Macaca fascicularis: one gene and its partners. The main gene of each other region encodes a partner of the protein of the gene in region 2 in a complex. Links are inferred from orthologs where the notes say so. Each region holds a gene or a part of one and is shown on either strand. Other genes may lie near its edges. The genes, in order: PHF10, SMARCC1, ACTL6B, PBRM1, ARID1A, SMARCD1 and DPF3.

Region 1 (3,500 bases), on a different chromosome or scaffold from region 2:
AAGAGTCCTCCTGGCTGTCAGGAGCGCTTTCTCCTTCAGATACATTGCCAGAGGAGCTGTCCTGGAGTTTAAAAGGCAAAAACAAAGATTCTTTGGAATTGAGTCTGGATTTTGAAAACTATGGAAAATACTCAAAAAAAGTTTTAAAGCCTTATCAATTTAAAAATAAAAAGATCATTCTAAATGTAAGAAAGTTTTTTCCAGTGGAGACTAAAGTAACTTATGTTAAAAATCATTCATCTTTCTTCTAAGTATGATATGGTATAAAACTGATTGCATTCATATCAGTGCCTTCATCAACTTTGTTTTCTGACCTAAGTCACAAAAATGCAATTATCCGCTTCAGCTACTATTATACGGCACACAGCTTCAACATCATTTTCCATGTCACAAGGGAACATATTTGTTTCACACAAAAATATATTGTTACAAATAAGTGTGGGTATTTTCACTGAGTACTAAAAGTCATTAAGAAGGTCCTTCAGGAAAAATGAAGTGCTGCAGTTAAAAAAAAAAAAAAAAAAAAATTCCTTCGAGTACACATTTGTGTTTTCATAATGTTAAACCATGCAGAGCCAATCCCTCAACTATCTACAACAGGATGTGAAAGATTGCATATACTCAAGGTTTAAGACCTCAATATCTAATGATTTAATTCTTCATTTTATAATTTTAAATTTTCTAATTAGAACTTTCATATAAATTATGAAAATTATAAATGAAAAAATTAGATTATCTAGAGCCTCCCTGATAAACACACACTGACTAGAAACATGAATATATCCACTTCATCTTTTTTCTGGGTGTCCACTTATATACATAAAGATACCGAGACTCACACATACCCCCTAACCTCATTGTGCCCTCATTTTTTAAAACACAAAACTGGATTACACTGCGTATGTATGCATGTGTGTGTTTTGGTATTTTTTTAAAAGCATTATGTGCATGTTCTCACAATCATTAAATATTCTTTGAACTGCATTTCTATCCTATAAATGTAATATAATATTACCCACTGTGGGCATTAAAATTTATTTGTAACTTCCAGGATAAAAAATACTGTAAACACTCAAACAGACCTTTTTATTCTAATTAAATTTTTTTCAGCATCTGATTAAATCCTTAGGATAAATTCTACTAGTGGATTTGCGAGGTCAAATTCTGTGGAACTTAAATTGGTAAGACTGTCAAAACGCTTTCCCATAATGTTGGATTAGTTTCCACTTTTCCTAGCAGTATGAAAGGAAGTCAGCTTCATCCCCCTTTGCATGCCATAGCTCCCCTTTTAGCAACATAACAGGAGAAAAGTTGTATCACCACTTTAATACTTGAACAGCATCTTATTTTGCATAATATGTATTATTAAAGATGTTTTAGAAGCTGCTGGGGACAAGGAAATAATGTCCATTCAATGGTAGCACAACCTCACATTTAGATTGGCTTCAATGAAAAGTCTGAAATAGCCAGTTACTTAAAACACAATGCTAAAGAAATTCAAAGCCCTATGTCATCACTGTGATCAAAGCCCTAAACCATCAAGGGGATTCTGTTCTCCTTCAGATCCACAGAATTCACCAGCTGCCCATTGTTTTGCAAGCGCATTTTGCTACAAAAAAAGAGTCATACAGGAAAACCCAACAAATTGCAAAACATATTACTAAACACAATATTTTCCTATAGGAAGCCTAAGATTAAGCAAAAGAAACCTAAGTTAATGCACTCCCCTAAACTAAGAAAACTACATTTCTGTGTCAAGAGATCAAATTCTGTTTTGTTCAATATTTTAAGCTAAAGAGACAACAAGTTGAATAAATGACTGTAAGCTAATTTTCCAATATCCTTGCCTAAATCGCTCATGGTAACTACAAAGGGGCGATTTTAAGTATAAATCTTACCAAAGGCCACACACGGCTTGTTTTTTATCAAAACATACTATAAATAACTTTTCTTGATGAATACCTTCTGGAAATTACATGCAACCATCCTTTTTCAAAGAGAGGGTGATGACAGAAGTTCAATGTAACATTCCAGGAAAGCAATTAGCAAAAATTCAAAGAGAAAGGAAACGCTTCCCACTAGAGAGAAATGTTCTCACCGAAGTGCCTTTATTTTTCCGTTTCTCGTCACCTCGACCATCTTCGCCATCATCTGAATCACCGTCACTGTCTAGAGCAGGGAGCTCAGGATCCAGAGGGGGCTCATATAGGGCTGTGTTTAATGGCAGATACCGCAGCTCATCTGGTGAGTACCTGAAGTTCAGAGCGTTTATTTTTGGTTTCCCTTTATTATTAAATATAAATAGACTCATCGTTGACCTATGAAGAGAGCCTTAAACTTCTTGAGTAACTCCAAAGACTTCCGAAAAATAGAGTATTAATTTTTAATTTTTGTCATCAAGTAGGGTTAATAAAAAGCCTGAACATCTTTTCACTAGACTTATGTAAAATATGCATTTGATTCTAAAAGATAATGCGCCTCTCCTCTTTGCCCTCAACCCAAAAAAACAAAACAGTAAATAAAATGTCAGTAGCCCCAAGTCTGACTGCCAGCTCACATCCACGTCCACCACTGTTCCAGGTCTTTGCTACTTCTCTGTGCTATCACTCCACTTGTAAAACAGGCCTAATAATAGCATCTACCTCATACACCAGTGCATGGTACATGATATTACTTAATATTAATATAGAAAGCAAAATTTTTAGTAACAAATTATTGTAAACAAATTTGGGAAGCATGTATTCTAAAAAATCTAATCAACTATTTTTTCTGAAACTAGATTGGCAATCTCTTCCCCTAGGTCAGACAGCAATGCTTTGTGCCACCTCCATTCTCACCCTCAGTAGTCCTCATTCAGGAAGCGACCCTGGATCAGGACTTCTCCAACTAAGACAACACACCAAAAAGCAAAGGAGTTGGTATACTTGCATATGACTTTTAATAATTTGCTGACACCAGAGTAAAATTTTTAAAAATTTAAGGCCGAGTGCAGTGGCTCACGCCTGTAATCTCAGCACTGCGGGAGGTCAAGGTGGGCAGATCACCAGAGGTCAGGAGTTCGAGACCAGCTGGCCAACAGAGTGAAAATCTGTCTCTACTAAAAATACAAAAAATTAGCCGGGCGAGGTGGTAAGTACCTATAATCCCAGCTACTTGGGCGGTTGAAGCAGGAGAATCACTTGAACCCGGGAGGTGGAGGTTGCAGTGAGCCGAGATCGTGCCACTGAACTCCAGCCTGGGTGACAGCATGAGACTCCATCTCAAAAAAAAAAAAAAAATTGAAGAAAAACTTTTAAAAAAACTGCTGCCCATGATTTAAATTTGAATTAAAAAACCTTTTTAATTTAAAAAATTTCTGCCCAAGATGTGACTTTCAAATGGTGTGAGTTATGATACTATACTTTAAATTCTATTCTCTAAAAAAATAGTCTATTATGAAAAACATACGGTTCCAGAGTAAGGCTTAAGGTTGAAGTAAAAGCTGAGACTTTAAAACAAAA
Region 2 (3,500 bases):
GGTCTGCTATCATCCCATCTATGGGTGAGGAAACAAACACTGAGTTGTTAGAGAATTTGTCCTAGCCACAGGGTTGGTAATTGATGGAGCCAGAATTCATCGCACCCAGTGTGGTGGCTCTTCAATCTATGCTCTCAACCTCTGTTGCCTATCACTTCTGTATTTCAAATGTGGCACGTGGATTTGGCTCTGAAAATAGCTATGTAACTTCTCGTGGCAGTTCTTTAAGGGAGATCATGGCTGGGCAATAAGTAGAATCCATGAGACCAAATCCAGAAAAGAACATACGAAAATGGAGAGAGAGACTGAGATTCTGTTACAGCAGATTCCAATGACTTCTGTCACAAAATACAGTACTTAATAACAAGAGTGTTAAGGACTCTGAGACCTAGCAACAGTTCTTGGCACACAAGAAAAACAAAACTCAGGCAGCCAAGATCATGCCACTGCACTCCAGCCCGTGTGACGGAATGACTTTGTCCCCCCGCCACAAAAAAAAAAAAAAAAAAAAAATCAACAGATTATACCCTGATTAATACATGGGAGCGTATCTACAGTACTGAAAGGTGTGTACTTATATATAGGGACAAGTGTTCCAGAAGTATATACTGATGAATCATCAGGGAAAGACAAAAAGTACTTTCTGCCAAACTTCTTCCTTCCAATAAGAGTTTCTCTATTTCCAATGCAAAAGCACAAAAATCCTTTATGTAATTAAGCTTAATTCACATGTAGCTATATCACCATGTCTCTCTTTTAATTAGCACTCATGCATCAGGAAGATAAAGATTCATTTTCTCCTGGATGAATAGAAACAATCCATAACATACATGCACACACAAGCTGAAAGTTGTTAGGACAGACCGGGCGTGGTGGCTCATGCCTATAATCCTAGCACTTTGAGAGGCCGAGGCAAGTGGATCACTTGAGGTCAGGAGTTCGAGACCAGTCTGGCCAACATGGTGAAACCCCATCTCTACTAAAAATACAAAAATTAGCCAGGTGTGGTGGTGCATGCCCGTAGTCCCAGCTACTTGGGAGGCTGAGGCAGGAGAATAGCTTGAACCCAGGAGGTGGTGGCTGAAGCAAGCCAAGATTGCAACATTGTACCCCAAGTCTGAGCGACAGAGTGAGACTCCATCTCAATAAAAAAAAAAAAAAAAAAAAAAGGGTAAGTTGTGAGGATAAGCCTGAATTCATTATAGTAAAAATTGGTTTAAAATCCAAACTTAAACTCCAAGAGCTGATGTCCATACAGTTCAAGGTTTAGAAATAAAAGAATACCCTAGGCAACATGGTGAAACCCCCATCTCTGCCAAAAAATAGATAGATAGATAGATAGATAGATAGACAGACAGACAGACAGACAGATAGATATCAGCCAGGTGTGGTGACATGTGCCTGTTCTCCCAGCTACTGAAGAGGCTGAGGTGGGAGGATCCTTTCAGTCCAGAAGGCAGAGATTGCTGTGAGCCAAGATCATGACACCGCACACCAGCCTGGGCAACAGAGTGAGACCCTGTCTCAAAAAAACACGAAAGAAAAACCCCCAAAAAACAGAAAACAAAACTAGATACAATTTCCTTTGTACCATGGAATGCTATACAAATGAGATATGAACACTGTTCTGAAAGGAGTATTTGCAAACTTCCAAGAATCAGCAATAAGAAACTCAGGTGGATGCTTGAAGAGGCCCTACCACACACAGGCAAATAAACAAGTTTTCTAAAACACTGGCCTCACATTTCTGGAGTCTTGGATTTGTTTTTTCCATTGAAGAACTCAGGAAGAGCACGCCGTTCAATCACATGAATACTGAAAAGAAGAAGAAAAAAAAAAAGGTTTAGGAGCCTTCTTTTTAAAAGAATAAAATCATTAAATATTCTAAGTAAAAGTGATAAATCCAAAACCTCAGTACCGCTTGCCAAAATTAATTGGCTTACACTAGTTTCTATGTATTAACAGCATACAAGAAAGTTAAGGAAAGCCTTCTCTTTCTTACTCCCAATACTTACTGTAGTTTTCCTATTCCCATAACCAAACTAAAAAACTACTATCGACACACTGAAAACTATACATTTTATTATTTTTTGACGTAATACATCATAACTAGATAAGAAGCCACAAGATACGAAGAATTCTTTGAAAAATGTTGACAATAACAAAGTAGCTGGCATGGCATGGCAACAAACTGATGAAACAAATGACCAGAATAGACAATAAATTTGCAAGTCTCAGCTTCTCAGGCTGTTAACATAAATGAGCCTTTGTCCAGCCCTCAGAAACACTGTGATAAATTACTTTTTAGTTTTTAGTTTTGGTGGAGGTGCTGGGGAGATAAATTAATTTTTTAAAATTTTCAGTATCAATTGCTTTTAATAATATCATAGAAGTACATTTTAACAATATATACAAATGCTAATAATTTTATGAAATGTTACAGGTCATAAGCAAAGATCAGGTAAAATGATCAGGCCTAACGGTATAAAAATGAACCAACTGTATATCTAGCAAAAAGTTTCTGCTGCTAATACAAGTGTCATCTTCCTGATGACATTTTAAGTTTCTCAGTGGCTTTCCAGATATGCAACATGTAAGTATTGGTTGCATGGCAAAGAGCAAATCGATGGTCTGGGAATATAACTCAAATTATTCACTCTTTGAGTATTTGGTAACATTTAAATTAAATTGGATTTGCACAGTAAAATACTATAAATACAATGAATTACCTGCAAACTTCTAGAAAAACAATTTCTAAGATGAATTAATGCTATATAAATATACATAATGACTTCTAAAAGAATAACCGTAAGGAACTAATTACATAATTCTAATATAACTCCCAATGTTTTCATTGTTACAGGTGAGGAAGAGCCCACTTTAAAAAAAATTCTGTTTATCTTTGGAATGTGTTTGTGTTTTTTTGTTTGTTTTGTTGTTGTTGAGACAGAGTCTTGCTCTGTCACCCTGGCTAGAGTGCAGTGATGTGATGTAAAGACATCCGTGAACCCGGGAGGGAGAGGCTGCAGTGAGCTGAGATCACACCACTGCACTCCAGCCAGGGTGACAGAGCAAGACTCTGTCTCAACAAAAAAACAAACAAAAAAAACCCATAAACACATTCCAAAGATAAAAATCACTTTCCATCTCCCTTCGTCAAAGGTGACAGTAATTTCTGACGAGGAACATGGGCAGAAAGGCACAACCTGATTTGAAGGAAAGTTCTTGTACTGCTCAGTACCATGCTCACAGATGAAGTGGTCACTCACCAGTTATAATCAAACCATGATGCATAACTAGGAATAATAATGTGATTAGTCTGCTCTGTCACATTATCTTCCCCAGGGTCAATTGATCGACTCTGATCACCTTTGGCAGGATCTTCATCTTCCTACAGAAAAGAAGACAAAGTGGAAAGAAAGAAAGAACTACAGATATCCATCCATCCATCCATCCATCCATCTATCTATCTATCTATCTATTGATACATATGTATCTAT
Region 3 (4,050 bases), on a different chromosome or scaffold from region 2:
AAAGATTCTCTTAAAATTATTTCTAACTTAAAAAGAGTGTAAATACTGAATATTGATTTCTTTCAAAGTCTAAAACACAACTGGGCTGGGTGCAGTGGATCCCACCTGTAATCCCAGCATTTTGGGTGGACGACGTGGGCGGATCGCTTGAGCCCAGGAATTCAAGACCAGCCTGGAAAACATGGTGAAACCCTGTCTCTACAAAAAATTTAAAAATCAGCTGGGCGTGGTGGCTCATGCCTGTAGTTCCAGCTACTCCGGAGGCTGAAATGAGAGGATCACTTGAGCCCAGGAGACCAAGGCTGCAGAATTGTGCCACTGCAATCCAACTTGGGTGATAAACTGAGCGGAGCCCCTGTTTTTGAGACAAAATCTCAAAAACAAATAACAAACAACAACAACAAAAACAACAACAACAAAACCCACTGTACTTAAAGGAGGGTAATAGAAATATGTTGTGGCATAGGCTGGGGAGGAAAAAAGAGCTAAGTGATCATTTTCTAGAGTGGAAAATTCATTGATAATATCTAAAACTAAAAACTCCACAGGCAGCAATTTAAGTGTAATATTAGAGATATGGAAGAAAATACCCCCAAAATTAGCTAAAAAGGAGAAAAACAGTTGCTTCTATAAAGAGGAATCTATAAGGATATGGGTAAGAACATTTTTAAAAATGCAGTTTAAAAATTTTTTTAATTGTTATTGTTTTGATAAAAGAGATGGGTCTTGCCATATTGCCCAGGGTGGTCTCGAACTCCTGGGCTCAAGTGATCCTCTCGCCTTGGCTTCCCAAAGTGCTGGGATTACAGGTGTGAGCCCACATCCCCAGCTCACCAATGTTGACCAAAATAATAATAAGTTAAAAGGTCTAAAAAGTACTTGGAGGCTGGGCATGGTGGCTCATGCCTGTAATCCCAACACTTTGGGAGACCAAGGCGGGTGGATCACCTGAGGTCAGGAGTTCGAGACCAGCCTGGCCAACATGGCAAAACCCCATTTCTACTAAAAATACAAAAAGTTAGCCAGGCATGATGGCAGGTGCCTGTAATCCTAGCTACTCGGGAGGCTGAGGCAGGAGAATCCCTTGAACTCGGGAGGCAGAGGCTGAGATCTCACCATTGCACTCCAGCCTGGGTGACAGAGTGAGACTCTGTGTCAAAAAAAAAAAAAATTTAAAAAGGACTTGGAGATGGAGAAGGGCAGCAGAGTAGATAGAACAAGAAGAGAGCAGGAGGGATGGAGACTTAGGAAGGAAGGAAAGTGGTTGGGATGGGTGAGGGGAGTCTGAAAAGGGAAGGGAAGTGGCTGACATCGGTGGCTTGAGGGGAGAGGAGGAGAGGTGGATGGTGGGAAGCAGGTGCAGTGGAGATTGGGGTTGGACATGGGAAGGCAGGAGGCACTCACCGGGGCCTCGGACATGAGCACGGGGTGCAAGTTTGGCTCAGACTTGACGTGTTTGCTGTAGGTATGATCCAGGATGGCTCGGAAGCACTCCCAGTCCTCGACTGGGGCCAGAAGAACAGAGTGGAGAAAGGCAAGAGGGCAGGCAGGGGTCAGGGACAGGAAGAAAAGGAGGGAGAAAGGCCAAGCCCAAAGGAGGGTCAGTGAGTCCAGGCCCAGGGGAACATCCCCCCTTCCCAGAAACCTGCTGGGCCCCTGGGAAGGGAACCCAGCGAGAAGAACCCTGGCAGCGAGAAGAACCCTGGGGCTGCAAGGAAGACTCCTTGGGGAGTGGGGGCTGCTATGTCCCAGCGTGGGGAGTGGGCTCCCTATCTGTCAGGAGGTGATGGGTGGGGGCCCCTTACTCATGCCATTCTTGAGGGGCGACATGACCTCCGCTCCATCCCGAGGCACGTGCAGGGCATTGGTGTCGATGTGGAAGATCTTCCCTTTCTTCTCTTTGTCCCCCTCCAGCTCCAGCCCGCCCCCCTCCTCCGCGGCCAGCAGCCCCACCGTGGTGGGGAAATCAGCCTGGTGGGGAAGGGTTGGGGGAGGATCGGCAGGAGAGGGGTCACCCTCTTGCCCCTGTCCAGCCCCACGGCAGGGTCCTCAGCCCGCCCCTGGGTTTATTCCCACATTCCCGCTCAGCAGAGCTTCTGGGCGATCTGGGAGAGCCCTGGGTCACTGGAAAGCCTGAAGAAGGGTCCGGAGCCCCTAGGATTTAGAGAGGAGACTGGAAGGCTCACCTTGGGACAGTCCTCCCCAGCGTACCCAGCGCGGACTGAGAAGGAGCCAATGTCAAAGACCAGCGCCCCCACCTCATCTGTGAGGGGAGACAGGCCTGTAAGGGGACCTCCCCCGAAGTTTTTCCCGCTAGGTAGTTCCGAGAGAAAGTCAGGGCAGAGCCACAGACTCGCCACCTTCAACACCAGTCTGGAGCCGGTGGGAACTGGGCCTGGAGTCTGAGGTCCTGGGACTGGGGGTGGGGGCATCATACCGCCAGGGTCCCTTCTTGCCCACTGGCCTTGCTCAGGCCACCCTCCCGACGGGAAAGGAAGGGGCCGGGGCCAGGTGGAGGTGGGTTGTAAGGTAGAGAGGTTCGGCCCGGTGCGCACGAGAACGGAGCGCAGGGGAGGCGGGAACCCGAGCCTGAGACTGGACCAGTTCATGCGCGGAGGTGACAGGCCCCGGGGTGCCCAGAGCTCGGATGGATGGCGCGGGTTCGGAACGCAGGGGGCCGGAGGCTCGCTCACCTCCGCCGTAGACGCCCCCGCTCATAGTGCCCTCTGCGCTGCTAGCGGCCCGTGGGCGGCGGCGGGATCAGCACCGAGGCGGCCGGACAGCTCCCGGGATCCCTGGCGGGGCGGGGCGCGCGGCGACCAATTGGGAGGCCGGATCCCCCGCCCCCAACGGCGCCGCCGATTGGCTGCCAGGCGAGACAATGACCGGACCGGGGGCCGCGGATTTAAAGGGGAAGATACCCTCCGTTAGGCGACCAGGAGGAGATGGGGCAGGGGGCGCCTAGCAGGGACTTAGAGACCGTCGCTAAGGAACGGGCGGCAGAGAGGAGAGCAGGGCAGAGGCGGAGACCAAGACTCTGCAGGACGACTGATGAGGTCCCTACCCCCTTGCTTTTTGTTTTTATTAAATTTTTTGGTGGAAACGGAGGTCTTCTTACGTTGCCCAGGCTGGTCTCGAACTCCAGAGCTCAAGCGATCCTCCTCAGCCTCCCAGATAGCAGGGATTACAGGCAGGTGCCAGCACACCTGGCAAATTAAAAAAATTTTTTTTATGGAGACAGGGTCTTGCTCAGGTTGATCTTGAACTCCTGGCCTCAAGCGATCCTCCCACCTCAGCCTCTCAAAGTGCTATGCCCGACCTCTACCCCCTTACTTTTTAAAGCAAGACTGGGGAGAGAGCTCCACTCCCCAGAAGGGTCATCTGTCTTCAGGCTGCTCTGAGCCCGGTTCTGCCACACCCAGGCCTAAATGGAATTGCCGGGAGAGGGAGGGAAGGGAAGATTAAGAGAGGGACCAGAGGGGGTGGGGGTGTGTCTCCATCTCTCTCTGTTTTTTTCTTTGTTTGTTGTTTTTTTTTTAGAGACTGGCTGGTCTTGAACTCCTGGCCTCAATGTCCCAAAGTGCTGGGATTAAAAGCATGAGCCACCGTGTCCAACTTCCCTCCTTTGTCTTTCGCTGGCCCCTCTTTTCCTTGCTTTGCTCCACCCCTACCCCCACCACCCCAGTACCTGGGCGTTATACATGTGTACACATGCTTACGCACATATACATACGTTCACACACAGCCCACCTGGCTTTAGCTTCTTTTCTCCATCTCTCTCTCTCTTCAGCGCCTATTTTCCTAAGGAGGCATTTATCAACAAGAGGGTTTTTGTTTCTTTTATTTTTGAATTGGGGTCTTCCGTCACCCAGGTTAGAGTGCAGTGGCACGCTCACAGGTCACCGTAACTTTGAACTCCTGGGTTCAAGTGATCCTCTCGCCTCAGCCTTCTGAGTAGCTGGGACTTACAGGTGCACACCACCACACCTGGTTTTTTTTGTTTGTTTGCTTGTTTTAGAGAAGGGCCCTCACTATGTTGCCCAGTCTGGT
Region 4 (3,500 bases), about 5.0 Mb from region 2:
CTCATCTGGCTAATTTTTAATTTTTTTGTAGAGACGGGGTCTTGCCATGTTGCCCAGGCTAGTCTCAAACTCATGAACTCAATCGATCTGTCCACTTCAGCCTCCCAAAGTGGGAGCCACTGTGCCTGGCCAATCATTTTTAATTTACTCAATGCATCTATACTAACGTCCAAACGCCTGGAAAAAAAAAAAAAAAGAGAGAATATACTTAAAAAGATGGCAGTGATGTTTATGAGAAAACTAGGCTTTGAAATTTGGCCAAAAAAACCCATTTTTAGGCAGGGCGCCATGACTCACGCCTATAATCCCAGCTCATTGGGAGGCTGAGGTGAGTGGATCACCTGAGGTCAGGAGTTCAAGACCAGCCTGGCCAAAATGGTGAAACCCCATCTCTACTAAAAATAAAAAAATTAGCTGGGTGTGGTGGTGAGCACTTGTAATTCCAGCTGCTCAGGAGGCTAACGCACAAGAATCGCTTGAACCTGGGGGTCGGAGGTTGCAGTGAGCCGAAATTGTAGCAGTGTACTCCAGCCTGGGTGACAGAGTGAGACTGTCTCAAAAATAAAAACAAACAAACAAAAAATTCCAAAAACCATTTTCAGGACAGGCACAGTGCCTCACGCCTGTAATCCCAGCACTTTGAGAGGCTGAGGTGGGTGGATCACTTGAGGTCAAGAGTTTGAGATCAGCATGGCCGATATGGTGAAACCTCACCTCTACTAAAAATATAAAAATTAGTCAGGTGAGGTGGCACGTGCTTGTAATCCCAGCTACTGGGGAAGCTGAGGCAGGAGAATCACTTGAACCTGGGAGGTGGAGATTGCAGTGAGCCAAGACCGTGCTACTGCACTCCAGCCAGGGCAACAGAGCGAGACCCCGTCTCAAAAACAAAACAAACCATTTTCAGTGTGTTATGTCAACACGCAAAGAAACTCCAAACCATTTATGAAATATATAATTTATTTTAATTGTATAACAAAAAGGGGTGTTTATTGTATGATATAATATGCTAACAGCAGTGAGACAGCTTTGAGGAAACATGTATTTCACAAAGGTTTATTTAGAAGGAATCTCCTTACCTGCCAGTGTCTGATCCCACTTGCTAATGCTGTTGGACTCAGCACTGAGTCCTTCAATATATTTCAGGTAGGCCTCTGAGTGAAGAAGCCGCTGGGTCTTTGGTGGGGGAGCTACAAACATGGGTGTTGTTGGCTGCTGTATGACAGGGGGTCCAGCTGGATGTGGGCCGGGATATGGAGGTGGTGCTTGCTGCCCTGGAGGCCCCAAAACTCCCACCTGAAAGAGTACAGGACCACATGGTGAGGCAGAAAGAGACTGCACATGTTCTGAGAAGGAGGATAACTCGAATTCTGTCAAGTCCTAGAAAATCAAACTGGGAAGCTCACCTGTTGTCCATATGGACTTCCACCTGGTGCTGGAGTCCCTACCATAGGGGCCACTCCTTGGTTCATCACACCTATAATTCAGAATGCAATGGCACAATTAGAGGCTCTGGGTTGAAATGACTGAAAAACTACTGTCTGATAAGAAATTATGCCATTCATAATTCAAACTTATGTACCTCTGCCCTTGAATCTTTGTAGCTAGGAATCCTAAGCACCCCAACAGGATTTGAAGAGAAAGTTGTTTTGTTTCTAGGTACTTAAAGTATAATACTAGAACAATCTGTCAGATGTATATCAATTATGGCTTAGAAATGATTTGAACCTTGCATAAAATTCTAGTATTTCTCTAGGTAAGCTATTGTCAGAATATACCTCTACATTCAAGAATATACCTCTACATTTCTTCTGACAACACATTCTCCTGCAACTGAAGCCTGTATTTAATTTCAGCAGAAATGGCACTGGAATCAGGCTCAGCAGTAGGCAATGTGCTAGGACAGTAGGGACACAAGGGAAGAGGCTGTGGAAGTGTATAGTTAAATGAGCTTTGTGAAGGTTGAAGGCAGAGCCTTGCAATCTCCTCCCAGACCATTAGGAGCTGGTTCTAACTGGAGTCACTAGTGCTGGCAGAGAGAGAACATTTCCATCTGATAGAGTAGCACTCTGAAAAGGAATCATCTGAAGTGAAGTAACCTTGTTGCTATCACTTTATATGCAAAATGACAAAGGAACAGAAAGACTTCATGGCCTTACTAGATTTGTACTATGTCCCTGATAGTAATTTTGTAAGCTTCCCTCAGTGAATGCTCACGAGCAATTGTTGTCTCACAGGCACAGCTGATAATAATGAGATGTCCTAAATTTAGAGTCAGAGGCTCTTTTGATTTCAGGGTGCATTCTGCTATTCTGATAAAATACAGAAATAGGCAAGGGAGCCAGTTCATTAAAAACAAATAAATAAACCTAAAACTGTGGTGAACTGTTCTTGAAAACTTAAACAAATGCTGTGTAGAACAATCGAGAGGAGGTAACTTCATAGTGTATAGTCCCTTTGGATTAAAAATCGTGATATTCTGTCCAGGCAGGAGCAGCTCCTCATTCTAAAGTTCAGAACTGTTTCATGAATTTGCATGTCATCCTTGCCCCATGCTCTTCTCCATATTGTTCCAATTTTAGTGTATGTGCTGCTGAAGCGAGCACCAAGGTTCAGAATTGTTAAATGCCACTTCCAGGAAGCGTAAGAGAGCCTCTTATTTGTTAGAAAATAACAAGTCAAAAAGCTTCTGTTTAAAAAGCAGAGAGTTTTATATTCCAAGTACCCAGATGTCCACCCGGATCACCAAAGTAGGATCCTGATGATTATTCGTGAATGAATGAAGAGGTTGTGGTGGGTAAGCTGGTGCTCCAGCAATATATTATTAACTTCTGTGTCCATCACCTCCTGTGCCCGGGACACTCACCCACCTTAGACTCCACAACACGGTGTGGCTCCCTAAACTGTGTAAATCACTGCTTTGCAGGGCAGCACAAACAAATCAGCAAACTCTTCTGCTTCCTCTATTGACAAATGCCATGCCGGGGCAGCTGGTGAGAATGTGAGCTGAGTCACCAGAAGAGCTCAATGAATCCCCTGCTCCTCTAAGCCTGCTCAGACATGTGCATTCGTAGGCACTAATAGGGGGACTTCCCTGACTCCTTGCTTCTTTTTTTTTCATTTAAGTAAAATAGATACGGGGTTTCACCATGTTGCCCACTGATCTTGAACTCCTGAGCTCAAAGCAATCCTCCCACTTCAGCCTCAAAAAGTGTCCGGTCATGCCTCCTCAATTCTTTTTTTTTTGAGACGGAGTCTCGCTCTGCCGCCCAGGCTGGAGTGCAGTGGCTGGATCTCAGCTCACTGCAAGCTCCGCCTCCCGGGTTTACGCCATTCTCCTGCCTCAGCCTCCCGAGTAGCTGGGACTACAGGCGCCCGCCATCTCGCCCGGCTAGTTTTTTTTTTTTTTTTTTTTTGTATTTTTTAGTAGAGATGGGGTTTCACGGTGTTAGCCAGGATAGTCTCGATCTCCTGACCTCGTGATCCGCCCGTCTCGGCCG
Region 5 (3,500 bases), on a different chromosome or scaffold from region 2:
TTGACCATGAAGCTTAGGACAATCCCTGCAGCAAATTGTTTTTATATTCTTTAAAAGTTGACATGATAATTGTACTTATTTATGGGGAACATAGTGATGTTTCAATAGATATAACGTATAGTGATCAGATCAGGGTAATTAGCAGATATATAATCTCAAACACTTACTACTTCTTTGTGCTGAGACCCAGCAGCAAATTGTGAAGTTAGAGTGGGCTTGGCCATGTTAGTGTCTCCATTTCTCAGTACTTATCTCTGTTTTGATGGTTGCCCTCTTACATTTTGCCTCATGTGGTCGGCAGTTGCTGAAGACTCAACATTTGGTCTTTACTCATTAAGTCATTCATTTTGGTTTTTGTCATTCCTTTTTGTCTTTTCAAACCTCCATTTAGCAGAAACAGTTGGCATGCCCTGGTTAATGGCTTATGTCACTCTGAAGGTGCCTAAAATGACACACCACTATATAGAAAATCAGATAGAGACTCCATGCAAGTAGCTGCTAAAGAAAATGTAGATGGTAAAGTCCCAGGATAAGGAGGGAGAGCATTTGTTCGCATTGTATAAAGCTAATAACTATATGGATACTACCCACAAATAGGTTATATGCAGAGGAACCCCCAGATGCCCCAGTACAGTTCCCCCCAGCCCGGCTCAGCCTTATCTCCGCGTCAGCCTTCCGGAGGACAGATACACACAGGCATGGGCTCCTACCAGCAGAACTCCATGGGGAGCTATGGTCCCCAGGGGGGTCAGTATGGCCCACAAGGTCAGTATACTACCCAGTTAGGAGTAGATAGGGGTGAGAGGAGAAAACAGTTCCTTGTCTGATATGTTGCCATCTAGCTTGTAACCTTGTGAGAGAAGGGCTGTCCTTTGCCTTAAATCCACCCAGGCCAGGCCCTTGAAGAAGGGCAAGGAAAGATTCCATTTGTCTCCACTTACTCCGTCACCATGAGAAAGTCTTTCAATTTCACTGAGCCTCTGTTTCATTTGTAAAAATGGAGATAAGGTGTTTACTCCACCATTGAGCACAGACAATTAATACATGGTAGCTATTGGTTATTACTTTTTTAAAATTATTTTTAGTGAATAAGTCATAATGGAATAGATCTTTGCTCAAAATTACAGCCCTAGGCAGATCAAAAGTTGAGTATCTTACACAGAGCATGGAGATAGAAAGGAAGTTATCTTCTTCTGGAAGTTGAAGTGCCTGTGTGGCAGCAAAGCCAGCCTTGCTCTGTGCTGCCTTTAAGATGGAGGGGATAACTGACCTGCCTTTACATGCTTCTGGCACCCCCCCACTTTTTCTCATGGAGATAAAGGCTACCATGAAGTTGGTCTCTTTCCTAACCAAAATATTGAATGACATTGTTTGGTGTTCTAGAGTTGAGAGATATTAGTGAGTTGCTAGTGTGAGTCACTAACCAAGTCTCTGTCTTCTCTTCCTCCCCTCTCAGGTGGCTACCCCAGGCAGCCAAACTATAATGCCTTGCCCAATGCCAACTACCCCAGTGCAGGCATGGCTGGAGGCATAAACCCCATGGGTGCCGGAGGTCAGATGCATGGACAGCCTGGCATCCCACCTTACGGCACACTCCCTCCAGGGAGGATGAGTCACGCCTCCATGGGCAACCGGCCTTATGGCCCTAACATGGCCAATATGCCACCTCAGGTTGGGTCAGGGATGTGTCCCCCACCAGGGGGCATGAACCGGAAAACCCAAGAAACTGCTGTCGCCATGCATGTTGCTGCCAACTCTATCCAAAACAGGTAAGGCCTGGGAAGTGGAGAGGGTATCAGTTCTAGAAAATGTATTGTAGACCCACTCAGATTATTGAGATGCTTCTGGACCTAAATCGGGGGGGAAAATGGGTGTGTGTATGAAGTGTTAATTCTTACATGTCTTAGATGGGTCTGAAATTTCACATGACTAAACATCATATGTAAAGAACTTTATAAAAAACAGGGTTGGCCGGGCGCGGTGGCTCAAGCCTGTAATCCCAGCACTTTGGGAGGCCGAGACGGGCGGATCACTAGGTCAGGAGATCGAGACCATCCTGGCTAACAGGGTGAAACCCCGTCTCTACTAAAAAATACAAAAAGCTAGCCGGGCGAGGTGGCGGGCGCCTGTAGTCCCAGCTACTCGGGAGGCTGAGGCAGGAGAATGGCGTAAACCCGGGAGGCGGAGCTTGCAGTGAGCTGAGATCCGGCCACTGCACTCCAGCCCGGGGACAGAATGAGACTCCGTCTCAAAAAAAAAAAAAACAGGGTTTTGGCTGGGCGTGGTTGAGTGGGACTACAGACACACACCACCACACACGGCTAATTTATTTTTTATTTATTTATTTTTTTTTATTTATTTACTTATTTTGAGACAGAGTCTCACTCCATTGCCCAAGCTGGAGTGCAGTAATGTACTTTCAGCTCACTGCAACCTCTGCTTCCCAGGTTCAAGCGATTCTCCTGCCTCAGCCTCCCGAGTAGCTGGGATTACAGGCACCCGCCACCATGCCCTGTTAATTTCTATATTTTTAGTAGATACTGGGTTTCACCATGTTAGCCAGGCTGGTCTCGAACTCCTGACCTCAAGCGAGCTGCCTGCCTTGGCCTCCCAAAGTGCTAGGCATGATCCACCATGCCTAGACTTTTTTTTTTTTTTTTTTTTTTTTAAATAGATACGGAGTCTCACTATGTTGCCAGGGCTAAAGACAGCTTATTTTGATTTGCAAAATAAGTGTTCAGAGTAGGTGGTTTAACTTCTATCAGTCAACATTTTGGTTTCCAAAAGGATTCTTAATGATACATATGTCTTGGATCTTTGGTGTTAGAAATAGCAAATGGTAAGCTTGTGGTTTGCCATTTCTCTTACTGTTTTATGTGGTCCTGTGTGTTGACTCTGGTGCTAGAGTGCAGAAGGCTCACGTGATTAGGTTTAACGACTTCTTTGGCCACTAAATCTTATTGAGTTGTTGATGAACCAAGGTAAAATAGGGTGATTGACTATAAAGAGCTGGATTTGGTAGAACTTCAGAAAGATGGAAGTGCAAAGTTTGCATTAGCCCATCAAGAAATAATGCAAAGCCACCTCTGGGTGATATGCTGAGGGTTCCAGTCTGGAATTTAGCATGACAAAAAGTGGTACAGTTCAGCATTTCATCTATGTCTTTTGCCACAGACAGGGCCCTTAAATGGAAATACAACTTGACTTTGGAGGTGGCTTTGAGGGAGGCAGTACTTAAAAGACACAGCAGGGCTCTGCTTCAAAGAATTGTACCCTTTGAAATTCAGCTATTGTGGCTGGGTGCGGTGGCTCACTCCTGTTATCCTAGCACTTTGGGATACCGAGGCAGGTGGATGACCTGAGGTCAGGAGTTCAAGACCAGCCTGCCCAGCATGGCGAAACCCCATCTCTACTAAAAATACAAAAAATTAGCCAGGCATGGTGGTGGGCACCTGTAATCCCAGCTACTTGGGAGGCTGAGGCAGGAGAATCGCTTGAAC
Region 6 (2,938 bases), on a different chromosome or scaffold from region 2:
AAAGCAAAAATGTCTTTGGTTGTCCAGTTCCTGCCCACATCTAGACAGAAGCCCTGGGGGAAGAAGTGAAACTCCTCCAAAGGCTTAGGTTTGTCAAACGAAAGGGGATCATGGGCATCTATGGCTCACTCCAGCCAACAGGTGCTCTGGGGAGCTCAGATGGACAAGGAGGAAGATGACTGCCACTGACCTGTAACAAGGAAAGTCGGGAAAGGGCTCTTAAGATCCAGTGGTGAAACCCAATAATCCCAACCAGCAACTAGCCTGCTTGGACCACTGGGGCAGACACCAATCTCTTAAGGTAAGACCCTGAGGTCCACAAAAGTAGAAATCTCATTTTCCACTTTATCTCCAGTGTCTAGCATCACAACTAGCACACAGCAGGTGCTCAATAAATACTTGTCAAATAAAATGAACAAACACTACGAGCATGGCTAATGGTATTGAAGGAAGAAGAGCTCAGGGAAGAGCTCTCTCACAGTAGGTAAGAGGACCCATCCTTCAGAAGATTCTTTTATTAAAACTGGGTAACATCAATAAGGGGACAGTACAAAAAAAATTTTGGTCCATGAAAAAAACATAATTCAGTTAATAAAAACAGTTATCAACAGGGACACTATGGAAGTACTGAGCTTCCTTCTCATGGTTCCAGCCAGGAGGCGGGCCAGGGCTCAGCTGCCCCAAGGTTGTCCAGTGTCAACCTTTCAAGGGAGGGAAAGTGGCAGGAAGGGGAAGATTGGGAGAAAACTCTGCTGTCCCCAGTATAGAACAGGCAGGGATTTGAGGGTGGGGGTGTGCTCGCAGGAGCCTGAGGAGGGGGTGGGGAAGCAGGGGCTTTGTCAGTTCTGTGGGTTTAGAGCCCATGCTGAACGGAATTCCCCCTCTGTGCCCAGCTGTCTCCCACCCTTGCTGTGTTGAGTCTGCGAGCCTGGGATACGCTAACTCGGGGGTAATACAACCTGGAAGAAGAATGTGAGGCCCTCCTGGAAAGATGCAAAAACCATCTCAGTTCCAAGGGGCCAAGATCACAAGGTCCTGCTGCTACCTGAGGGGTCTGAAGCTTTGAGGGCAGGGGCTGGGGAGTCACAATCCTGTGAGGCAGGGAGAGGGAAGAGTCACAAACCCAACTCAGCGCTATTCTCCAGCCCTAGGCGCTTTCACTCCTCAGTGCCCTAGAAGTCACCAGTAGGTGTCAACTGGGCAGACAAGGGACAGGAAGACAGGGATGGCCCAGGGCTTTTTACCCGTTTGGTTTTAGGCCTGTTTCTCCATTAAGGGATGGGGAGGCAGGGTGGAGTGAATGAATGACATCTCCAAACAGCAGCAGGAAGGAACAGCCTCTGCTGGCAATGACAGTTCCCCAGATGAGATCCCTGGGGCTCTGAAAGGGAAAGGCAAGATTTCCCCACCCAAATGCCCGGGGTTAGGGCAGATCTGAGGGAATTACAAAGGGCAGCCACAGGGAGTGTCTGGGAGAGAGCAACAGTTAAAGAACAAACTCCAATACTGATGTGGACCCCCACTAAGGAGTGAGAGAAGCACTGAGAGAGCAGGCCAATCCAGAGGGCTGGGGACTGACCTGGGGCTCAGTGGAGCCCAAGAACCAGGGTTTCTTTAGTGCTATGGGGCAACAAGTGAAGGGAGAGTTTGTTCCAAACCTGTGGAGGGAAGGAAGGAAATTGGATTCTGTTATCAGGAGAGCCAAGATCAACTAGCTTATAGAGTGCCCCCAGGCCTGAGTCTTGGAGAAGGAGCTAAAGCTCCCAACTCCTGGGTCTCTGAAGGGCAGGATCAGTGTAGCTGGTCCCCTTGAAGACCACCTGGCCTTAGGCCCAATCCATTCCAAGCACTCATTACCACTACAGGTTCTCTCTCTAACACTATCTAGAGGTCCTATGTAGACCAGGGGAGGGTAGAGGCACATGGGAACTTTGTGGGTCAAAGGGAAGCTGGGGGTGGGAAGGGATGGGGTGAAAGAAGAGGGTAACAGGTGTCTTATGAGACAGAAATGTGAGACCCTCTTCATTCTGGTGTTGTCCTTGAACCAACAGCATCCCCTGGAACGCCCCAAGCAAGACCAAGGCAGGTGCTATGAGGCAGGCAGCACAGGGCCCAAATCGAAAATTGGTGCAGCCGAATCAGGGCTGTGGGAGACGCCCTATGTATTCCGGATTCCCAGGGCTTGCTCTAATTCTTGTCGTCTCTGCTGCACCTAAGGAGAAAATAGTGACGGGAGTAGAAGATGAGACAAACCAGAAGTTTGTGTCTAACACCACTGACCCCTATCAGGGGTAAAAACCCTGTGCCTTTTATCAATTTCCCCATGCACACCATGTACTTACCTTGGAGTAGAAGTATCGGCACACAGCCTCCTGAGCCCAGGGCTGGAAGTAGAACTCAGCTCGGCGCTCCTCCTCTGGGTTACCCACCACATCAGTCATTGTCTGAGGGAGATGCAGGGAGAGGGAAGAGAGAGGAGAAAAGGCTTGTTTCCTTCCTTCACACCCATTATTGCATAAATTGTATCCTCCCCCAAAATGTTGAAGTCTAACCCCCTAGTACCTGTGAATGACCTTATTTGGAAATAGGGTCTCTGCAGATGATCAAGTTAAGATGAGGTCACTAGGGTACCCCCTAATATGACTGGTAGGTTCCCTTATAAAGAGGGGAAATTTGGACACGGAGACAGACACGTACAGAAGGAAGATGACGTTAAGTCACACAGAGACCACCACCTACAAGCCAAGGAACACCTGCGGTACCAGAAGCTGAGCGATGCACAGAACAGAGTCTCCCTCCCAGCTCACGGAAGGAAGCAGCACTGCCCACACTAATTTTGGACTTCCAGCCTCCACAACTGTGAGACAAACCTGTTGTTTAAAACTGCCCAGTTTGTGGTAGTTTGTGGTAGTTTGCTACAGCAGCCTCAGCAAACTGA
Region 7 (4,159 bases), on a different chromosome or scaffold from region 2:
ACTCTTGAAATTCTGGAATGTTTATTTTATTTTATTCATTGTCTTGAGAGGAGCAAAAGGAAGCGAGAGGGCATAGCTTTGAACTGGCAATTTGGCAACTTCTCTCCCCTTGCCACCCCTCCCCCACTATCTTAGCTATTTGACCTGATTAAACAGCTTTGGAATGGTAGCCAGACTTCTGTATGCTAACGAGGCCCCTACCCTATTCTCGATTTAATGCGGTTTCATCCACGCAGAGCTTCCCGGTGCCCAGTGGAAGCCTGACTTCGCAGAAGTCTCCCAATTTTGTCAGGGGCTCGCCAGTGAAGAGTTCACACTGACTTGAAGCAGACACAGACTCTTTGGACGCCTCGGGTCACATCGGATTATTCACTAGCAAATTCTTTCCACCTTCTAAGTAGTGAAAGGTGACGTCAGAATCGCGTGTGCCACTCCTCTAAAGGGACTCTGACAACACCCAGTCCAGGCTCTACGACTTCTGCCTAGGCACTTGCTTCCTAGTAGTAGAAAGTTTCCAAAGGTTGCCTCAAGTCCTCCCTACCTCTAAGCCTAAAGGTCAGAGCTCCAGGTCGCACCACCGAGCAGGAATCTGAGCATTTTGGAAGTTTCTGGTGTAGGGAGCAGAACAGAAGGGGTGGTAGCGGCGGACCGCGCAGAGTAACCCCCCTGCACTACGTAAAGAAAGCCCTGGCTGCAGGAGGGAGTGAGCCTGACATTGAGGCATTCCAGGGGGAGGGTGAGTTGCTGTCCTGGAGTCGCCAGGAACAGCAGCGGCAGTTCCAAGAAGCGAGAGAGGAAGGTGGCGGAGATAAAGAGAACACTTCGGGAATAAGAATATTAAAAAGCAGCAGGACCCAGAGCATTAGCAAACGGCAAAGCACACGAAGTAATTTGTTACACGAAGCGGCAGCCTTCCAACTTTTGTACTGAAACACGGGGATTTACCCTTTGGGGGATTAAAAATGTTGATATGCAAAGCCAAAAGCTAATGAATAGGATTCAGTGGCTTGCTGGCAATATTGAAATATTTCTGTCCAGGAGCGCAAACTCTGCAGTTATTTAGAAAAGTAGGGAGTTGAACCAAACTATAATATTCTCCCGTGCGTCTCCACTTTCCCCAGCCCGAAAAGGAGCTGCCAACGCGGTACTTCCCCTTTAAGACCTGCTGGCTCTCGGGCTCTACAAAAGGGAGTGACCTCTGGGCTTTGACAGCTCCCCTAATAACTACCACCGAGCAGGCCCCGCCCACCTGGCGACCAGCCGCGCCGATTGGCCGGCGGGCCGGTATCCCGCGCTCTGATTGGCCTGTCGCTTCCCCTGAGCGAACCTTTAGAACTCTGAGACAGACAATATTCTGTTACATTGTAGCAAAATGGCGACTGTCATTCACAACCCCCTGAAAGCGTAAGTAAGACTAAAAAATGTACATATTCCGCGTGGTTTCAATATGAAAAAAAAGGCGCCTTCTGCGTGGCGAGCGCTGCCAGTGCTTGCGCTTGCAGGCGCCTCCAGCCGCGGCGGGGCTTCTCTCTTCTTTCAGCTCTTACTTCTTTTTTTTCCCCCAACGCGCAGAAATGTCAGGAGATGCAATTAACAAGAAGAAAATTGTTACATTTGTGTTCTGCTAAATTGCAGAGAGAGCGAGAGATAGGGGTTGCCGGCGGAGGAGCCCGGCGCTCGAGCGCTCTACAGCAGGGGGGTCGCGGGAGCTCGGGGACAGCGCGGTCCCTGGAGTCCCCCGCCTCGCGGGCAGGGAGCGAGGCTCCGGGGGCGGCCGGGCGGGGGGCGAGCGTCGGGCCGGGACTGCCTCGGTGCACTTGGCCGAGCCCTGCACCCCCAAGCCCGCGGCCCCCGCCCCGCCGCTGGGTCTGCTGGGTCCGGCGGACGCACCGCGGAGGCTCCGGAGTTTGCAGGGCGCTCTTCGCCTTCCGATCGCTCGCGGGGAGTTTGTGCAAACCTTCCGGAGTTGGGAGCACCGCGGGGGAAGCAGCGGGTCCCGGGCGCGCTGGGTCCCAGGTGGTCGCCCCGGGCTTTCCCCGGCAGCCCCCGGATCTCGGAGGCGCTCCGGGCGACCGCGCGTGTGTCTGCTCGTGTGTTTGCGAGCAACCTGGCTGTAGTGGATTAACGACTCGGGTTAACTTGGGGTGGATTTGGAGGCAGGGAAGCCGCAGGTCTTATGAATGGTGTTCTCGCCACCTCTGGGTGAGGCGCCGAGGCAGGCGGAGAGGCGGTTTTGGGGCTCCTGGCCCGAGGGGGCAGCGTCTGCTCCCGGCCGGGCGAGGGGCAGGTGCCTCTGGCCGCCCCGGGGAGACTTTGAGCGCTTGTCCAGATCCTGGACAGAGTGGGGCGGGCCGGACGAGCACTCGCGGGGGCCAGCCCCGGGTCCAACAGCCAATTTCTGCCTGCCTGCCTGCCTTCCTCCTCCTTTTCATCCTGGCTTCCTTCCTTCCTTCCTTCCAGTCGGTGGAACTGTTAAGCCGCCAAGTCCGCTCGCGATCGCGGAGCCAAGGGTGGCCTCGGAAAACTAGTGTCGCTCTGAAAGGGGTGCTATTGGGTGATGTCGGCAGAGGGTGGCTCCCTCCGTATTCGAGGTGGGCTGGGGGTCCGCACCCCTTCGACCGGGACTTCCCCGCCCGGACGAAGCCGCAGGCAAAGAGGGGGAGAGGGAGGTGCGGGCCGGGTAGGGGGCGGTTCGTGCCGAATTCTCCCTGGTGCGTGGCCACTGTCGACCCTGCTTCTTTTAATTCAGCGCATTCTCGTCTTCACCCCTCGCCACTCCTGGAGTTGAAAACCAGGTTCGCTCCCGGAGACGGTAGGGGGGTTCCTAACGCAAAGGAATGCACAGGGAGAATCAGACGTGTTTGCACCAGCTCGTCGCCCACCAGAAATAGGGAAACGGGTAGGAATGCCCCAGGTTTCAAAGATATTTATATGAAAGCTGCCGTTAAGAGGACGTTGGAAGCTGAGGCTGAGCAGATAGGAGCTCCCGGCTTCAGTTCTGCCTCGGAAGCTCGGATACACTGCACTTGAACGCCACAGCGTTTCATCCAAGAAAGAAAATGTTTTATGGCAGAATAAATGGGCGTAACTTCGCCGCATCCTCGCTGCCGGTTGCTTTCGCTGCAACACCGCTGATGCTGTCTCTACCGAACCCACAACTGATTTGCAGTTTCCCCATATCCAGCCGAAATCACATAACCAGGCTGATGCCACCTGGTAAACTCAAGTTAGAGAATCTATTTCACATGTGCACCAGGTTTGTTTCCTACTGGGAAAGCCGTACCCTAGTTACCCGGGAGCCCGCTTTCGCGCGGGCGGGCGCAGTATCTCTAAGCTTCAGTGTTCCCCTGCTCGCTCCAGGGTTTTTTTGGATCACAGTAGGGTGCGCGTTTGGGGAGGGAGTCTGTGTAGGGTGGGGTTAAGGGTGGGGGAAGGGACAGACGGGGGGGAAAGAAGGTGGCGGAATCCCGGCTGGTTAGGGGAATTAGTTCTGAATTGTACTTTGTATAATTAGAAACAGTTGCAATGTGATGTATTTGTAATTGTGCCGCCACACGCATGCACACACTAGCATACACACAACGCCCCTGCTTGCTTTTTCTAGGTGGGAGTTGAGTGGTCATTTATAATTAGCCATTCCTTTCTGCTTCCCAGACCCTTTCCCTGGGGGTAAAGGGGTGTAAACAATACCCCTGACCAGCCCAGCCTCTCACACCCTGGACAGTTTTTAACTCCTAATGCAGGAGCACACACGTTGTTATTGGGAGACGGACACCATCTGCCTTTTTTTTTTTTTTTAAACAACTTGTTTAATAAAACATCTTATATATTTCATTTGTTTTTAAAAGTTGCTGATCAGGAAACAATACAAACGTGAATAAATTATGCATGGGATAAATTAGAACAAAGTGCAGAGACACATCCAGCCGAAGGGATGGTGGTGGTGCAGGGAGGAGGGGTAGCGGAGAGAATGGTTTGGAGAGCTATGTTTTTATCCTCATGTGTCCCTCCTGACAATGAAACAGAGCTGAATGACATTAGCATTTTCTCTGTGTGCGTTCTGAGTCTCTCTCTTCCCTCCAAAAAAAAAAAAAAAAAAAAAAAAAAAAAAAAAAAAGCCAACACCACGGACGCCCCCTACAGAAAATGGTCACACAAA

The links.
Region 1: SMARCC1 (region 2) and PHF10 share a complex: the UniProt entries of both Homo sapiens proteins name them as parts of the neural progenitors-specific chromatin remodeling complex. The link is inferred for Macaca fascicularis from reciprocal best matches to the Homo sapiens genes SMARCC1 and PHF10.
Region 3: SMARCC1 (region 2) and ACTL6B share a complex: the UniProt entries of both Homo sapiens proteins name them as parts of the BAF complex. The link is inferred for Macaca fascicularis from reciprocal best matches to the Homo sapiens genes SMARCC1 and ACTL6B.
Region 4: SMARCC1 (region 2) and PBRM1 share a complex: the UniProt entries of both Homo sapiens proteins name them as parts of the SWI/SNF-B (PBAF) chromatin remodeling complex. The link is inferred for Macaca fascicularis from reciprocal best matches to the Homo sapiens genes SMARCC1 and PBRM1.
Region 5: SMARCC1 (region 2) and ARID1A share a complex: the UniProt entries of both Homo sapiens proteins name them as parts of the neuron-specific chromatin remodeling complex. The link is inferred for Macaca fascicularis from reciprocal best matches to the Homo sapiens genes SMARCC1 and ARID1A.
Region 6: SMARCC1 (region 2) and SMARCD1 share a complex: the UniProt entries of both Homo sapiens proteins name them as parts of the BAF complex. The link is inferred for Macaca fascicularis from reciprocal best matches to the Homo sapiens genes SMARCC1 and SMARCD1.
Region 7: SMARCC1 (region 2) and DPF3 share a complex: the UniProt entries of both Homo sapiens proteins name them as parts of the BAF complex. The link is inferred for Macaca fascicularis from reciprocal best matches to the Homo sapiens genes SMARCC1 and DPF3.

The regions. Positions count from the first base shown.
Region 1 is NC_088378.1:1,322,202-1,325,701, reverse strand, and holds part of PHF10 (PHD finger protein 10), read right to left. Parts: intron 2,253-3,500; coding exon 2,099-2,252; intron 62-2,098; coding exon 1-61. UniProt on the Homo sapiens protein: Involved in transcription activity regulation by chromatin remodeling. Belongs to the neural progenitors-specific chromatin remodeling complex (npBAF complex) and is required for the proliferation of neural progenitors.
Region 2 is NC_088376.1:110,609,231-110,612,730, forward strand, and holds part of SMARCC1 (SWI/SNF complex subunit SMARCC1), read right to left. Parts: intron 3,392-3,500; coding exon 3,270-3,391; intron 1,816-3,269; coding exon 1,744-1,815; intron 1-1,743. UniProt on the Homo sapiens protein: Involved in transcriptional activation and repression of select genes by chromatin remodeling (alteration of DNA-nucleosome topology).
Region 3 is NC_088377.1:49,244,255-49,248,304, forward strand, and holds the start of ACTL6B (actin-like protein 6B), read right to left. Parts: upstream 2,801-4,050; 5' UTR 2,719-2,800; coding exon 2,694-2,718; intron 2,264-2,693; coding exon 2,187-2,263; intron 2,155-2,186; exon of another isoform or gene 1,972-2,154; coding exon 1,806-1,971; intron 1,506-1,805; coding exon 1,405-1,505; intron 1-1,404. UniProt on the Homo sapiens protein: Involved in transcriptional activation and repression of select genes by chromatin remodeling (alteration of DNA-nucleosome topology).
Region 4 is NC_088376.1:115,644,765-115,648,264, forward strand, and holds part of PBRM1 (protein polybromo-1), read right to left. Parts: intron 2,607-3,500; exon of another isoform or gene 2,509-2,606; intron 1,478-2,508; coding exon 1,407-1,477; intron 1,297-1,406; coding exon 1,080-1,296; intron 1-1,079. UniProt on the Homo sapiens protein: Involved in transcriptional activation and repression of select genes by chromatin remodeling (alteration of DNA-nucleosome topology). Required for the stability of the SWI/SNF chromatin remodeling complex SWI/SNF-B (PBAF).
Region 5 is NC_088375.1:208,345,392-208,348,891, reverse strand, and holds part of ARID1A (AT-rich interactive domain-containing protein 1A), read left to right. Parts: intron 1-597; coding exon 598-765; intron 766-1,456; coding exon 1,457-1,769; intron 1,770-3,500. UniProt on the Homo sapiens protein: Involved in transcriptional activation and repression of select genes by chromatin remodeling (alteration of DNA-nucleosome topology).
Region 6 is NC_088385.1:56,929,158-56,932,095, reverse strand, and holds the end of SMARCD1 (SWI/SNF-related matrix-associated actin-dependent regulator of chromatin subfamily D member 1), read right to left. Parts: intron 2,445-2,938; coding exon 2,343-2,444; intron 2,213-2,342; coding exon 2,159-2,212; 3' UTR 501-2,158; downstream 1-500. UniProt on the Homo sapiens protein: Involved in transcriptional activation and repression of select genes by chromatin remodeling (alteration of DNA-nucleosome topology).
Region 7 is NC_088381.1:140,763,275-140,767,433, reverse strand, and holds the start of DPF3 (zinc finger protein DPF3), read left to right. Parts: upstream 1-1,359; 5' UTR 1,360-1,372; coding exon 1,373-1,404; intron 1,405-1,410; exon of another isoform or gene 1,411-1,584; coding exon of another isoform or gene 1,585-1,993; intron 1,994-2,043; coding exon of another isoform or gene 2,044-2,117; exon of another isoform or gene 2,118-2,242; intron 2,243-4,159. Other genes in the region: uncharacterized protein, read left to right, coding at 1,585-1,993, 2,044-2,117. UniProt on the Homo sapiens protein: Belongs to the neuron-specific chromatin remodeling complex (nBAF complex).